Linked DNA regions of Mus musculus. The protein of the gene in region 1 interacts with the protein of each later gene in a pairwise test. Links are inferred from orthologs where the notes say so. Each region holds a gene or a part of one and is shown in the gene's direction. Other genes may lie near its edges. The genes, in order: Arhgef11, Plxnb2, Plxnb1 and Plxnb3.

What was found.
Region 2: the proteins of Arhgef11 (region 1) and Plxnb2 interact in a two-hybrid assay, tested with the Homo sapiens proteins (2 studies listed by BioGRID). The link is inferred for Mus musculus from reciprocal best matches to the Homo sapiens genes ARHGEF11 and PLXNB2.
Region 3: the proteins of Arhgef11 (region 1) and Plxnb1 interact in a two-hybrid assay, tested with the Homo sapiens proteins (2 studies listed by BioGRID). The link is inferred for Mus musculus from reciprocal best matches to the Homo sapiens genes ARHGEF11 and PLXNB1.
Region 4: the proteins of Arhgef11 (region 1) and Plxnb3 interact in a two-hybrid assay, tested with the Homo sapiens proteins (2 studies listed by BioGRID and IntAct). The link is inferred for Mus musculus from reciprocal best matches to the Homo sapiens genes ARHGEF11 and PLXNB3.

Annotation. Positions count from the first base shown.
Region 1 is NC_000069.6:87,735,500-87,738,551, forward strand, and holds the end of Arhgef11 (rho guanine nucleotide exchange factor 11), read left to right. Parts: coding exon 1-72; intron 73-306; coding exon 307-496; intron 497-1,423; exon of another isoform or gene 1,424-1,544; coding exon 1,545-1,603; 3' UTR 1,604-2,540; downstream 2,541-3,052. UniProt on the Homo sapiens protein: May play a role in the regulation of RhoA GTPase by guanine nucleotide-binding alpha-12 (GNA12) and alpha-13 (GNA13). Acts as guanine nucleotide exchange factor (GEF) for RhoA GTPase and may act as GTPase-activating protein (GAP) for GNA12 and GNA13.
Region 2 is NC_000081.6:89,160,231-89,163,791, reverse strand, and holds part of Plxnb2 (plexin-B2 precursor), read left to right. Parts: intron 1-421; coding exon 422-514; intron 515-787; coding exon 788-869; intron 870-883; exon of another isoform or gene 884-944; coding exon 945-1,105; intron 1,106-1,196; coding exon 1,197-1,345; intron 1,346-1,432; coding exon 1,433-1,541; intron 1,542-1,669; coding exon 1,670-1,806; intron 1,807-1,946; coding exon 1,947-2,117; intron 2,118-2,435; coding exon 2,436-2,568; intron 2,569-2,679; coding exon 2,680-2,907; intron 2,908-3,008; coding exon 3,009-3,185; intron 3,186-3,284; coding exon 3,285-3,424; intron 3,425-3,530; coding exon 3,531-3,561.
Region 3 is NC_000075.6:109,093,902-109,098,262, forward strand, and holds the start of Plxnb1 (plexin-B1 precursor), read left to right. Parts: upstream 1-1,534; 5' UTR 1,535-1,744; exon of another isoform or gene 1,745-1,931; intron 1,932-2,054; exon of another isoform or gene 2,055-2,333; intron 2,334-2,364; exon of another isoform or gene 2,365-2,913; intron 2,914-2,961; exon of another isoform or gene 2,962-4,361. UniProt on the Homo sapiens protein: Receptor for SEMA4D. Plays a role in GABAergic synapse development. Mediates SEMA4A- and SEMA4D-dependent inhibitory synapse development. Plays a role in RHOA activation and subsequent changes of the actin cytoskeleton.
Region 4 is NC_000086.7:73,755,739-73,759,912, forward strand, and holds the start of Plxnb3 (plexin-B3 precursor), read left to right. Parts: upstream 1-1,364; 5' UTR 1,365-1,412; intron 1,413-1,427; exon of another isoform or gene 1,428-2,784; 5' UTR 2,785-2,789; coding exon 2,790-3,845; intron 3,846-4,155; coding exon 4,156-4,174. UniProt on the Homo sapiens protein: Receptor for SEMA5A that plays a role in axon guidance, invasive growth and cell migration. Stimulates neurite outgrowth and mediates Ca(2+)/Mg(2+)-dependent cell aggregation.

The DNA of each region.
Region 1 (3,052 bases):
CTGGTCCTCAGGGATATGGGTGTGATCTTCCACACCATCGAGCAACTGACCGTCAAGCTTCACAGACTCAAGGTGAGGGGTGCAGCCTTGGGGCAGGAAGCCGTCCATCCAGTACCCGGGACAGTTCCCCGAGAGGGAAACTGATAGAAATTTGAGACGAGGGCCTCACACAAGCTAGACAAACATTAAGCTCCATCCCCAACTCAGGAAGTATATCTCTTCAACTGGAGTCCTATGCTACCCTGCGTACCCTCCCGCACCCTCTGAGCCTTAGCACAGGGAAGACACCTCCTTCAACTCTTGTAGGACATGGAGCTGGCCCACAGAGAGCTGCTCAACTCCCTTGGAGGAGAGTCGTCTGGTGGAACCACTCCTGTGGGAAGTTTTCACACAGAGGCAGCCAGATGGACAGACTACTCCCTCTCTCCTCCAGCCAAGGAAGCCCTGACCTCTGACCCCCAAAACAATCAGGAGCAGGGGTCCTACCCTGAAGAAGGTGAGTGAAGCCAACCCCTGCATGTGCTGCCTGAGGGAATGCTGTGAACCAGGAGTAAGTGTGAGCAGGTAGTGGGCCGTGCTCCCATGACTCTTCCCTAAGAAAGAGCAAGCACATTCCCTCAGCTTCACAGAGAAAGTTTGCCAGGCACAGTGCTGTGCCTTTAATCCCAACACCCAGGAAACAGATGCAGCTGAATTTCTGTGAGTTGGAGGTATATAGTTCCAGGCCGGGAGGGGGGAGTCTGTCAGAGAACAACTTCAGTTGTCCGTTCTTGCCTTCCACCCTGAGGCAGCATCTATGTTCACCGCTAGATGAGCCAGGCTGGCCGGCCCACCCACCAGTTTGTTCTCCTGTGTCCTGTTTCTAGGTGTTCTGATTATCCATTGAACTCTCTCCAGCCCCAGAAAGTGATCTTTATAGGCAAGCTACACAGAGACTCCCCCCCAAATAGGGACTAGTAGTACAGAACCTCTTGCCTGCATGTAAGTCTGTATATCACATACATGCAGTACCAAAGGATGCCAGAAGAGGACTGAAACTGGAGTTATAGGTGGTTGTGAGCTGCCATGTGGGTGATGGGAATTGAACCTGGGCGCTCTGGGAGAGTAGAAAGTATTCTTAACCACTGAGCCATCTCTCAGCCCCCAGAACCTTCTATTTATGTTGGTTTGAGGAAGTAATGTACCAGGAAAGCCGCCTTACCTCTGCAGCAGGTTCTTAGTGGCTCAGACCTGGGTTATAAGGGCAAGGACCGAATTCAGAAAGCTAAAACGCCTAACCTGTCTTGGTTTTGGCGCCTGGAAAGAAATGCAGTCCCACAGGAAACAAGGCTTGGACTGACAAGATGGCTCACCAAGCCTGACCATCTGAGTTCGAGCCCCAGGATTCACATGGAAGGAGAGAACCGACTCCAACAAGTTGTCTAGCTTCCACACACTCTATTACATATAAGCTTTGTCACAGCTGGCACTCAAGAATCAGCCAGGGACATGAAAGAGAACCTCTCAAATGTAGCCAGCGTCTCACCCTCACCATCTTCCCACAGGCTCCGACACCCCCCTGGAAGACAGTGCCACAGACACAGCTTCGTCACCAGGACCATAGCCATCCAGACAACCAGAGTCTGGCCTGAGCCAGAGCGCCACATTAGGAGATCCGAGCCTCCCCGTGAAAGATACTGTGAGGCCTGGGAATCCCTCATGTTGCCTGGTCTGTTCCCACCAGACAGTCCAGTTTAGTGTCTCTTCCTCCTGTTAGCCCAAGTCTCCGTGGCTTTCGTCTCCTAAGCATGCTGACCACAATAGAAAGGCCTCCACCCCACATAGCCAGTGTGGGGTGTGCTATGTGCACAGTGCCCTTGAGGAGGCTTATGTATAAATGCACTTTCTTCCTCCTCTTCTTCCTAGGCCCCGAGACAGCTAGATGCCTGGCTCTCCTCTTTGCCCTTTAGTTTCCTATAAATATGTCTATTGTATGTGTATCTTTGCCATTGTAAATAACTTAGCCTTTTATTCTGTCCCTGGCATGTTCAACCAGTCACAGAGAGCCAGGCAGCAGCCCCGCACAGGGCCATGATTGTTTATGTCCCACTGGCAGGGAGGTCTCCCAGATTCCAGTGCTGTCAAGCTCCAGGGCCTGCCCACCTCTGAAGCCTAGGCCTTCTCAGTGTCAGGAAATGCTCCTGCAGGGAGTGTCTTACCCAGCCCTTCCCCACTTGCCCCATAGAAACAATACACCAGGTACGGATCTCAACACAGACTCTCAAGAGAGATGTGGAGTGGATTGCTGGAGTCCCTGAGTTAAGTCAGGGCCCTTCCTTCCCCAGGGGCCACAGCACCGTTGGCTCATCACCCTGTCCTCACGCCACTCCCTACAATGAACATACACACTGTGCTAGGTGTATATATACATATATATAAATATATATAATATATAAAATATAGATATGGAAATGACTGTTTTACTGTTAAAATAATGTATACTCTTATTTTCTTCCTTTCATGGTTAAGATTTTTTTAAAGAAAAGTTAAATATTCTTCCATTGTGGTTGTATGATTCTTAGCCTGATAGAGGGTGTGAGGCTGCCGGTGTGACCGGTCAAAAATGGGTAGAGGGAGACAAGAAAGCCCCTGCCACAGCCATCCTGCACCAGGTCTTTCCACCTGTCCCAAAGTGCCGGTGTGTAGACCTTCTCAGCAGAGGTTGGACAACTGGCTCTGGCCCAGAAAAGGACATTGTGGTTACGTCACACGAAGGAACAGGGCTGCTGTGACCTACTCTCAGATGCAAACCATGAAGAGGGTTACCACACTGCCCTCCTTCCCACAGACCAGGAAGAGCCATGGCAGCTGAGCCATGCCTTAGAGGACCTGGGACATAACTGGAAAAGCCATGGTGCACCTTAACACAGTGACTGAGACTCAGAGCAGCCGGAGAGATCCCCAGAGCCACTTGCCAGCCGGGGCTGGAGCTCTGGAAGGTAGAGGAGGGGCTAGAGATGAGGGAGAGTTACCTTGGTTGGAGATTCCCTGGAGGTTGGCATGGGCTCTCCAG
Region 2 (3,561 bases), on another chromosome or scaffold:
CCAAACGACCAACAACTACCAGCCCTCACCTCTCAGGGCTCTGGCATCTATAAGACTCCCCAGAAAGTTCCCAGAATTCCAAGCGTTACACAATCGCAGAAAATACTCCACAGCTGGCAAACTGTGCCTCTGCTAGAGCACGAGGCAAATCATAGTCAGCTGCTATGGACAGTCCAAAGCAGCCCCACATGTGGGACTAAAACGAAAGCACACTCTTACAATAGTCCTGTGTGGTTTAAAGAAACCAAAATGCCATAATTGTTGCTACAGAGGGAGGCAAAGGGTCTTCGGAGGCACCCGAGCATGGGGCAGACTAGGTGGTGGGGTATTTCGGGAGCTTCTGGAGATACAGATTCTATGCCCCCAGAGGGCAGAACAGTTAGCCAGCTTGAGTAGAAAATGCTGACTGGACTCTCCACAGGTTTCTTCCCTGTATGTGGGCAGTGAGCTGCTGAATTTTGAAGAGACTGTGACCATGCATGAATCAGACACCTTCTCTTTTAGGACCCCAAAGGTACCACTGCTTGTCTTAAGGGCTGGAGGGTAGTGGGTATTACCCCTAGCACTGGAGCCTAGCCTAGCCTCCTGCCCTGTGCCTTGTGGTCTCCAAGCATCTCTGCCTATGTCCCTGAACAAACTCATGGTCCCATGGTGTGTGTGTGTCTGACTCTTCCCCAGTCCCTGCCTACCTGGCAACCATCACTGACTTTGGGCAATTGAGAGATTCCCATGGCTTTTGGTGTCAGAGGGACAGAAAGTACAGTTTGTCCCTGTGTGTCCCATGCAGCTATCCCATGATGGTAATGAGACACTGCCTCTTCACCTGTATGTTAAGTCCTTTGGCAAGAACATTGACAGCAAGCTACAAGGTAGGGGGTGGGTGGGGTCTGGGGAAGGCGGGAGAGGGAACAGAACAACAGCTAACTCTACGTCCTCCTCCACAGTGACTCTCTACAACTGCTCCTTTGGCCGCAGTGACTGTAGCCTGTGTCTGGCTGCCGATCCTGCCTACAGGTGTGTGTGGTGCCGTGGGCAGAACCGGTGCGTGTACGAAGCTCTGTGCAGCAATGTCACTTCTGAGTGCCCACCACCAGTTATCACTAGGGTGAGTTTTGTCACCGTCTGACCTGTACCCCCATACCCCCTTCACGTTCACCCACCCAAGCCACTCATGCACCCGGCTCTGCTGATTTCAGATCCAGCCTGAGACGGGCCCGCTGGGTGGGGGCATCCTGGTCACTATCCATGGGTCCAATCTGGGTGTCAAAGCAGATGACGTCAAGAAGATAACTGTGGCTGGCCAGAACTGTGCCTTTGAACCAAGAGGGTACTCCGTATCCACCCGGTGAGTGAACTCCGAGCAGCCTGGGCTCCTAGCAGCTGAACAGATGCAGCAGTGATAATGAGCTGACACCTGCCTGTCTGTCACCAGGATTGTGTGTGCAATTGAGGCTTCGGAGATGCCCTTCACAGGAGGCATTGAGGTGGATGTTAATGGAAAACTCGGCCATTCACCGCCACACGTCCAGTTCACTTATCAAGTAAGTGCCTGACTGAGCTGTGTTGTCCAGCCTCTGCTGCCCACCCCAGCAAGTTGGCATCTAACGATAATCACTCTCCAGTGACCCCTGAGTCCTTGGCCCTAACTATGCATGTGTGTTGCTCTCAGCAACCCCAGCCTCTCAGTGTGGAGCCACGACAGGGGCCACAGGCAGGTGGCACCACATTGACCATCAATGGCACTCACCTGGACACAGGCTCCAAGGAGGATGTGCGGGTGACACTCAATGACGTCCCTTGTGAAGTGTATGTGTCGCCCATGGCTGCTGAGCTCGCCTGGCTCTGGGGAGAGGGTGGGAAGACCTGAGTCTGCCTTGGGGGGTGGGGTTGGGGGTGAGGGGGCAGTGGAACTGGCTTGATGGACTGACAGGTACCTCCCACCCTAGGACAAAGTTTGGAGCACAGCTACAGTGTGTCACAGGTCAACAGTTGGCTCCAGGCCAGGTGACACTAGAAATCTACTATGGGGGCTCCAGAGTGCCCAGCCCCGGCATCTCTTTCACCTACTGCGAGAACCCCATGATACGAGCCTTTGAGCCATTGAGAAGCTTTGTCAGGTGCGGCCTCTCCCCTTTCTGGCTAGTGCCCTCCCCACCCCCGCCCGCTGACCTGAGGAATGTGGCAGAACTGGGCTGGGCAGGGCAGGAGGAGAGATCTTCTGGAAAACCCCACTGCACTCTGATGGGCTTCCTCCTTAGAACTGAGATGGCAGGGTCAGAGCAGGGCCACTTCCCCGACTTAACTCGCCTCTCCCTCTGATGCACATTTACCACCCTGCCATGCCACTTCCTGCCTGGGGTATAACTAGTAAGAGTGGAAGCTCGAAGCTGACTGAGCTGAACTCACTGAAGCATGCCCCTCCTCAACCCCCCCAGTGGTGGCCGGAGCATCAACGTTACTGGCCAGGGCTTCAGCCTCATCCAGAAGTTTGCCATGGTTGTCATCGCTGAGCCCTTGCGGTCCTGGAGGCGGCGGCGGCGGGAGGCTGGAGCCCTGGAGCGTGTGACGGTCAGTCCTGGCTTGGGGGTGGTGGGGGCTCAGTTCTAATGGGGACAGGGGCAGCTGGGAAGCAGGAGGGAGGAGCAAGATCTTCATCAAGTTTTGGGACCCTTTCCACAGGTCGAGGGCATGGAGTACGTGTTCTACAACGACACCAAGGTCGTCTTCTTGTCTCCTGCTGTCCCCGAAGAGCCCGAGGCTTACAACCTCACCGTGCTGATACGGATGGACGGTCACTGTGCCCCGCTCAGGACCGAAGCCGGAGTCTTTGAGTATGTGGCAGACCCCACCTTTGAGAACTTCACGGGTGGCGTCAAAAAGCAGGTCAACAAGCTCATCCACGCCCGGGTAAGAAGACCCCTACGGCTGGCATGGGGTCCCGGGTCGGGCGGGGCAGGGGCTCACGCTGATCACGCTGATCATTCCTCCGTCACCCATCCCCCCTCCAGGGAACCAATCTGAACAAAGCCATGACTCTGGAGGAGGCAGAGGCATTTGTGGGTGCTGAGCGTTGCATTATGAAGACGCTGACCGAGACGGACCTGTACTGCGAGCCCCCAGAGGTGCAGCCTCCACCCAAGCGGCGGCAGAAGCGAGACACGGCACACAACCTACCTGAGTTCATTGTGCGTGAGAGCGGGAGGGCTGTGGAGGGCCTGGGGAGCCTCTCAGGAGAAGCCGCCGCCGCCCACACCTGCCTGCGCTGAGCCCTAGCTTCCACACAGGTGAAGTTTGGCTCCCGAGAGTGGGTGCTAGGCCGAGTGGAGTACGACACGCGTGCGAGTGACGTGCCGCTCAGTCTCATCCTGCCTCTGGTCATGGTACCCATGGTGTTTATCATCGTGGTCTCCATCTACTGCTACTGGTGAGTCCTGCCCCCGGTAAGGCTCCCCTCATCCCTCCCGCATCAGCATCAGCGCTTCTGACCGTCATAGCTGACTGATACCAGAGAGCCGTTCAATGCCCCACAGGAGGAAGAGCCAGCAGGCCGAGCGCGAGTAC
Region 3 (4,361 bases), on another chromosome or scaffold:
ACAGAACAGGACAGGACAGGACAGGAACTCAAGCAGGGCCAGAACCTCGTGGAGGGGTGCCGCTTACTGCTCAGTATGCTTTCTTACAGAACCCAGGGCTACCAGCCCAGGGGGGCCCCACCCTCAATGGACTGGGACCGCCCCTGTCAATCACTAATTAAGAAGATGCCCTACAGGGGGATCTTATGGAGCGATTTCTCCACTGAAGTTCATTCTTTCAGATAACTCAAGCTTCTGTCAAGTTGACATAAATCAAGCCAGCACCCCACCCCCACCCCACCCCACGGGAGTCTGAGGGTGTGATGGTAGAGCAGCCTGGCATCAGCCCTTAGTGAAGTGGCAGATACGGAAGACGGCTTCCCCCGATTTAGAGCCCTCTAACCTTAGAGGCTTCCAGGTGACGTATATGCAGTTTTTCCCTTTCTGGACACTATGCCAATGGCCTTGAGCCAAAGTCCTTCAAAAGCCCTCAGGATGGGTCAGGTCCTGGCTCCACAGATTGCCATTGGCAAGCCCGGGTGTGAACCGCCCTGCATAAAGCCCTCAGGAGAGAACCTCTGCCCAGGGTTTCCTTCCCAGAAAGACCCAGGTGTTTTCCAAGGAGGGAGTCCAGACTTGCTCAAGGCTTCTGAGTTCTGCATGGCTCCAGGTACAGGCCGTGGAGGAGGGAAGGAAATAAGACCCTACTTCTGCACCTCACAGCCAGTATGCCCTGCTTACACAGTTCAGCTTTGGTGGTATTACCCCCTATTAGTCAGGGAGCAAAAAGGTCGGGGTGTGTGTGTGTGGGGGGGGAAGGGGTGTCAGGTTACATGGCTTAGTGATGGCGCAAACTCAGGTCCAAAGCCCGGGCTCTCTTCAAACAGCCAGGGGTGGGGGCCGGAAGGAGAGGTTGGGTGTTGTGGAGTATTGAAAGAAGGAAAGGTGGGCAGGGCCAGGTGAGAAGAGGAGAAGCTGGCGTCTAGGAGACCAGGTGAAGAAAGTTGGGGGGAGAGGATGGCTCCAAGGGCCGGGATCTAGAAGGGAATGAGGGCGCTCCGGGCGCTGGGCGAGGTGCGTTGGGGATAGTCAAGATGGTGGTTATGGAACAGGCAGAGCAGGTGTGGGGCACAAGTCCCTCGAACTCTGGCAGGACGGGGAAAGGCTCCAGTGCTGTATCTCAACGCCCAGGTAATAAGGCTCGCAACCATGGCCGTAGCCTCTTGGTCCTAAGCGGCGCGCAGGTGAGGCCCGGCTGGGCGGGGCGGACCGCCCACGCTCCCGGCTCCGCTCCTCACCCTACACGTCTGCGTTGCCATGACTACCGCCCGGGCGCTGCAGCCCCCATTTAATGAGAGGGGTTGATCACCCCCCCAGGCCCTTCACAAACTCGGATCCCGCGGGACCGGAATGCGGGGTCCCGGATGGCTGGGGCCGCGTACCCCGTTCTCCCGGCAGCTTCCGGCCTGGTCCGGGCGGCGCGCGGGGGGAGGGCGGCCCGACGGGCGGGGGGTGGGGGGGTGGAAGGAGCGGAGCCCGGGCCGGCCGACGCGGCTTTGTCTCCTTTGTTCCCAGCGGAGGCAGCGCCGCGGCGGGAGGGGCGGGCGGCGGGCGCAGTTTTTTCCGCCCCTCGGTCTCCGGGTAACAGCTGCGGCTCCGCCAGACCCACCTCCGAGGGGAGGGAAGGCCGCCGCGCGCAGATCTGAGCTAGCCCGGAGCTGCGGGCGGACGCCTCGCCGCGCGCATCCCGCAGGAGGGTCGGGCGGTGAGTTGCGAGACTTGGGCAGGGAAGGCGGGGTTGCAGGCGAGAGCCGCGCGCACCCAGGTGGAACGGCCCGAGGCCTCGATCCCGCTGGGCACAGGCAGCCGGAGTGGTGTCTCCGGTGGGTGGCTTCGGTCCTCAGAGTTGGGACCACACTCGCGCGCGCGAAGGCAAACTCTGGCGGCACCGCCTGTAACGCGATTGGGAGACAGAGGAGGTGGAGCTGCTCCTCCGCGCCCCCTCCTCGCTGCCGCCACCGCCGCTTTCGGGACCGGCCGGCCCCTTCCCCGCCCTCCCTGGGCCACTGGTGGGGTCTTTGTCCCGTGGAGCGGCGGAGGGAGGAGGGTTGAGGATGAGTCGAAGCAAGGAAGTGGAGGCTTCCCCATAGGATAACAGATCTTTCAGGCAGAGACTGACAAAGGAGGACCACGAGCCTTTTAACACTTGGACTCTGTCTCGGTACCCACACACCCAGCCGGTGCTTGACGAGCGCCTTAATTTATGGCGGGTGTCTGGTAAATGATGGCTCCCTTCCACCCTACTCAACATCCAGACGGCAGGTGTGTAGTGCACACCACTTCACTGTCAAAAAGTAACTCTCCCTTTTAAGTGGATACTGGGATAGGGGCGGGAGTGTGGGTGGCCGAGCTCAGAAAGGGAAGGCCAGTTTCCCCCAACTCCCAGACAAGTGCAGATGTGGAAGGGGCTGAATTTGTGAGTCTTCTTGGTTGTGAGAGCAGCTGCAGGAGAGGGTTAGGTGTTGCTTGTCCTTTGCAGAAGTCAGGCAACCAGTCTTGGGCCCTGCCGTAGGGTTTCGGGGAGTGTGGGTTCTAAAGAGGCCTATGGGGCAGGCCTGGGCACAGGCAGAGTTAGTTAGACTTTGGCGATGAGCCTGGACAGCCTGAGATGTGGGGAGTTAGGGAGGAGATACTGGCAGTGCAAGTTAGGGACGTGAGGCTTGGCTCCAAATAAGCCCTAGTCCGATCATTAATAAAACTGGGCCGATTCCTCGGCTTTTGAGATGCTAAGAGGCTTGAAAGCGGAGTGTGAGCTCCATATTACCCCTCTAGTCTGGATCTCCTTGGCAGTGAAATGGGGGCTCTGTCACCATGTAGGGAACACCTGCTCTGCGTTGGGTCTGCTGGTTACTGGAGCCTTCTTATAAAAAGCAGGTACTCTCTGCCTTTAAAGAGCTCTTGTCTAGGGTGGGAGGACGGAACAGAAGAAAATGGTCTCGGGGCCCACTCATGCCAGGTACACCCCAGAGGAGTCCTTCCTCCCCTCCCACTAATGGGAAATCTGAGGCTCAGAGCCCAAGGAAGAGCAGGATAGATAGGTCAGGCCTGGTAGCTGGGCGTGTCCATTTCATCTACCACACAGGGTTACCTCCTCGGGAGCCGGAGAGGCCTCAGGAGGCTCCTCAGGGAGGTGATGGCAGGGTGTGGGAGGTAATGGGAGACAGAGGGAGTGGGCATTCCAGGCTGAGGGAACAGCCCTTGTATTGGCAGGGAGGAACAGAAGAACAAGCCTGCAGTTTAGGCTGGAACGAGGGGCATGTGTGGGGGAGGGTGTGGGGGAGAGGGTCTTGACCTTTCTCTCTTCAGCCTGAGGGTACCCCAAAAGCCTGAGTGTGTGCACTCCACTGTTGTTTAACAAAATTCCAGTGAGGTCCTCATAGGGACTAGAGATGCCTCTGTGGCGTGTAGCTGACGTCCAGTGAAATCTGTGTGCTAATGTGGAGGAGAAAAATGTCAGTCTCCTTTGTCCTTCCCTGCCCGTGGTATGCAGCCCTATGGATGTCGTTTCTTACAGAGAGTCAACCTCTGACCTGTCCACTGAGCTTTTTGGAGCCCTCACATTTCTGTGTGTTCCCCTCAACTTCAGTTTGGGGAGTGGCTTTGTTACTGCCCCTTGAGGGCTGAGAAACTTTGGCATGCAGTAGGCGCTAAGCAAATATTTACAAGCTCATGAAGCGGCAAGTGCTGGCCTCACTGTGGGACCCTGTGCCCAAGGCCCAGGGTCTGTAGCCCAAGGTGGTTGGAGAGAGTTAGGCAGAAGCAGAGAGCAGGAGATGGCTTCTGCTCTTCCAGAGGAAGAAACAAGGTAGCAGGCTTTTTAGTAGCCTGGCCTTACCACAGTCCTGGGCTTCTGGCTGGGTTCAAGACTTTCCCTGCAGCCTCCCCCCCACCCCCCCCACCCCTCAACCCCAACCCCCTTGGGTGGCAAACAGAGGCAGCCTTGTTCCTGCTCCCATAGAGCTTCCCTGTTCTCTCCACACTAAAAATGGAAACCCCCAAGCTATTTTGGGAGCCGTGCCCAGCCAGACTGGCCATGGCCCCCTGCTCCCACTGGGCTGTGACCACAGAGTCCTTGCTCCCGCCAGGCTGCTGGACCTTCCTCTCAGCCTTGTACCCAGCCTAGCTTAGGATAGGGCAGCCTCAGGAGCGCCTTGCCGCGGCCTCTGGTATATGGGCCAATCCAGGGGCAAAGAAGGGAATTCTGGGAATCTTCCACATAGACAGCCTGGCAGCTGGGTGGTGGGAGGGCCTGGGCAGTGTGGCCTGGGCACAAGGAGGGGAAAGTGTTTCTCAGTGTAGAATAGTTTGTCCCATAACCAAAC
Region 4 (4,174 bases), on another chromosome or scaffold:
GTGGTCAGGCAACACAGTGATACCTATATGATACCTGCAGGCATGATGTCCCCCAAGGGTGTTGGCAGTGGAGCTAGGAGAGCAAGAACCAAACTTCTGACCCAAAATGAGAAAGCTGGCATCATCCTGGAATTCGGTGCAATGTAAGGAGGCTGTCTGCTTGGTTCCCCACCCCACCATCAACCAACTGGCTCAGCCAGATGGTAAGGGCCACCTGCCACTTCACCCTGAAGCTTGTTGCTACTGTGAACTAAAGAAGTAGCAAAGAGGTTGGGGATTTAGCTCAGTGGTAGAGCGCTTGCCTAGCAAGCGCAAGGCCCTGGGTTCGGTCCTCAGCTCTGGGAAAAACAAAAACAAAAACAAAAAACAACAACAACAACAAAAAAACAAGTAGCAAAGACTCTAAAGCAAGTAAAAGTGTCCCTGTACAATGGGCCCTTAGGCTAGTTGGCCCCCAAGGTGCCCTATGAGAGCAGCAAGGGAGCCAGCTGCTACTGGCACTCCCTTCCCTCCTATGGTGGAAGGATCCAGACCCATCCGGAAGGACCTTCTGGTCCTATGTCTGAAGCCCAGGGCTCAATCCTGGCAAAGTCCCCTGTGGTCTCCCTGCCTCAGCCCCTCCCATGCATTATCCTCTTCTGATTTTCCCCACTACCATTCTGTACCTGGCACAGCTTTGCCAGTCCTTGGGGGTAGGACTGGGTGGGGACAATCTTCTCTCAAGCCAGTAGGCGGGGGAGAAGGTCTTTGCCATGAGCTGTCTTTGTCAGTGCCTCCTCTGCCTTAGCCTGGACAAAGACAGGCATTGACAGCTGGCACTAGCACTTCAGCCAGGACCAAGGCTACTGACACTGAGGCTGAGGCTGTCATTTCAGGGGCTCAGTGCCTTTGGCCCTGTGGTGGGGGCTTAAGGGCTACCCAGTGCTCTTTACGGAGACCCAGAGAAACTCAGGGAGGGAGCACTCTGCACTGGCACAGGAGTTGTGAACCACATGGGGAAAATTGGCTCAAGGAAACCCTGTCCTTTTGTCTCTACATCCCAGGGGGTTTCTCCCTGGAGATGGGGAGTGGCAGGGAGCTCCCTGGCTAGAACAGCCAGAGTGGGGGTAAGAACACCAGATAGCAGGTCCCTGGCCTGGGCCTCTGGACAGAGGGGACATTGTTGGGGTGGAGGCAGGGCTGCCTTGGCCAGGCCACTATTGACAAAGCTGCCAGCTGTGGTGGAGCCCGATCTCCAGGCCCTTGCCCCCTCCCCTGCCTCCTTCCTCCCCCAGGGCCACCATGAATGGGGCTGAGCCTCAACTGTCTCCCTCCCACTCAGGACAATGCCCCCCACAGCCATCTTGTGCCCGTCGCCACTGCCCTGAGGCAGCTGATGTGAGGAGACCCCATTTCTGCACTCCGTAGTGGTGGTAAGTGTCTGGGCCCTATGTCCCCCAAGGTGTCCCAAAGAGATGTAGAGAGGGATAAATTTGGCTGGACTAGGGCACAGAGCAGTCTTGCAGGGAGCTTCCATCTCCTCTGCGTTTTTGGGTAACAACTCCCATCTCCTCCATTACACACACCCACCTCTGTCACAGCGATACATGGGCACTAGAGAAAAGTATATTTCCTGTCTGTGCTCTTGAGATAAGGGGACTTGGGGTCTTTTTGAGTAGCAGTGGGTGGCTTCTGGTGGGCACATGACTAACTGTGATGATCCCAACTCAGTTCAGGAACTGTCACCAGCTCCTGCCCTCTTTCTAGAGCTCTACGCAGGGTTAAATCTGTCTGGATGTCACCTAGTTAGGCAGTTGGTCAGTGGCTGCTGCTGACTGCTCTTGGAGGAGAGCTGGGGACTGGCACCTGTCCTCAGTGCCTCAGACTCAAGGTCCTCTCCACTCACCTGGAGCTACCTCTATCCTACTTCCCTTCTCTCTGATCTTTCATGGCTCTTCTCATCAGTGCTCCTACATTGAGGACCCTTCTAAAACTAGGTTTCCACAGACTCTAGATGCTGGGGTCCATCACTCTTGTACTCTGAGTTGCCTCCTAGTGCCTCACAGTTCCCCTAGAACCATCTAGGCTGGCTCAAAGCTCTCCTACCACCTCTATACTGGCCACCCAGTAGTGGTCTAAAGCCCTGGCCCTGGCCACCTATTCATTACTGTTTTGGGAGTAGTGTGCCTATGTCTAGCTGCATCTTGGCCGGAAGCCAAAGCTCTTCTTGGTTGTCTTGTCCAGTTAGTGAAGGTTCCTATATGAAGCTGGTTCTGACTGTATAGAGTGGGTTTTCTGTCCCTGTCCCTTTTGCCATGGGTATCCTGTCTTTACATGTGATGATCTGGCTTCTCTTATCATCATGTCTTTTTGTCTAGGTGACAGTATCTAGTTGCCCGCAGACACGACTTCCTTTTTCCATTTCCCTCCCTTTTCCTGCCCTTGTCACTCAGAATTCCTCTGTCATGCCTTTATAGCTTCTCAGGATCTGTCCTCTTTCTAGTCTACATGCAAATAAAGCAGAAGATGAAAAAATTATTTCCTTGTGTGTGTCCTCATCTCCATCCTGTCTCTTTCTCTATCTATAGGACACTTTCTTTGTCTTTTCTGTCCTCTTCCTGGCTGCCTCCCTCTAAGTACCCCCACCCTTCCTCTCTTCCTCTCTCTTCCTCCCCTCCTTCCCCTGTCTCTCTAGCCTCTTTTGCCTTCCTCTGGTAATGTCTCTTTCCTAGTTTAGCTCCCATTCTTTCCCTTGCCCACTTCTGCCTGTTGAAGAATGAAGCATTTTTAGCATTCTCCCATCAGGTCTTATGCTGACTGACTTCCTCCAGGCTCCTGTGATGGCTCCCTGGTCTCCCTTCAGCCTCCACCTGCTGCTGCTGTTCCTGCCGCTGCTGCCTTTGACCAGGGTCCATCGCTTCTCTGTACCAAATACCAGCTTCAACCACCTGGTGCTGGCACCAGATCAGGGCAAACTCTACGTGGGTGCAGTGAATCACCTCTTTCAGCTCAGCCCTGAGCTGAAGATGGAGTCTGTGGCTGTCACTGGCCCTGTCATTGACAGTCCTGATTGTGTGCCTTTCCGTGACCTGGCTGAGTGCCCACAGGCCCAGCTCACTGACAATGCCAACCAGCTCTTGTTGGTGAGCAGCAGGACACAGGAACTGGTGGCTTGTGGGCAAGTGAAGCAGGGTGTATGTGAGAAGCGGCGCCTTGGGGATGTGACTCAAGTGTTGTACCAGGCTGAGGACCCTGGTGATGGGCAGTTTGTGGCTGCCAATACCCTGGGAGTGACCACAGTAGGCCTAGTGGTGCCCTTGCCAGGCCGAGACCTCCTGCTAGTGGCCAGAGGCCTGGCAGGCAAGCTGTCAGCAGGAGTGCCACCCCTAACTGTGCGCCAGCTGGCTGGGCCACAGCCTTTCTCCAGTGAAGGACTGGGAAGACTTGTGGTCGGTGACTTTTCAGACTACAACAATAGCTATGTAGGAGCTTTTTCTGATGCTCACTCTGCCTACTTTGTGTTCCGTCGCCGTGGGGCTCGGGCCCAGACTGAGTATCGCTCCTATGTAGCTCGTGTCTGCCTCAGAGATGTCAACCTTTATTCCTATGTGGAAATGCCACTTACCTGCCATGGCCAGGGCCTTATCCAGGCTGCCTTCCTTACTCCAGACACTTTGCTAGGTGCATTTTCAGCAGGCACAAGTCAGGCACAGGCGGCCCTGTGTGCCTTTCCCTTAGCTGACCTGGACAGGAGTATGGAACAAGCCAGGCGACTTTGCTATACTACTGGTGGTCAGGGTCCTAGCGGCATGGAAGAAGCCACTGTGGAGTATGGTGTCACATCCCGTTGCGTCACTTTGCCTCCTGTGAGTGGTGAGAGCCTGGCTCCCAAATTTTGATTGGGGGTTCTATCTTCACTTTCTGTGCCTTGCCCTGCTTTGCCAGCCCTCTCCCTCTGTGACATGGGACAGAGTACTCTCCAGGAATAGCTACTGGTTCACCTCTTAGCTGAGTATATCAATAGGTAGCAGTTGGCTGTCTCGAAACTCTGATCTGCTCTCAGCCTTCCAATTCTTCCTAATCCCTTTCTCACTGACTGTGGGGTGTCCTCTGTTCCCAGGGGAGTGCCTACCCACTCCCTCCTGAAAACTGATTCTCTACACCTTGCCTATCTAGGACTCCCCCGAGTCATACC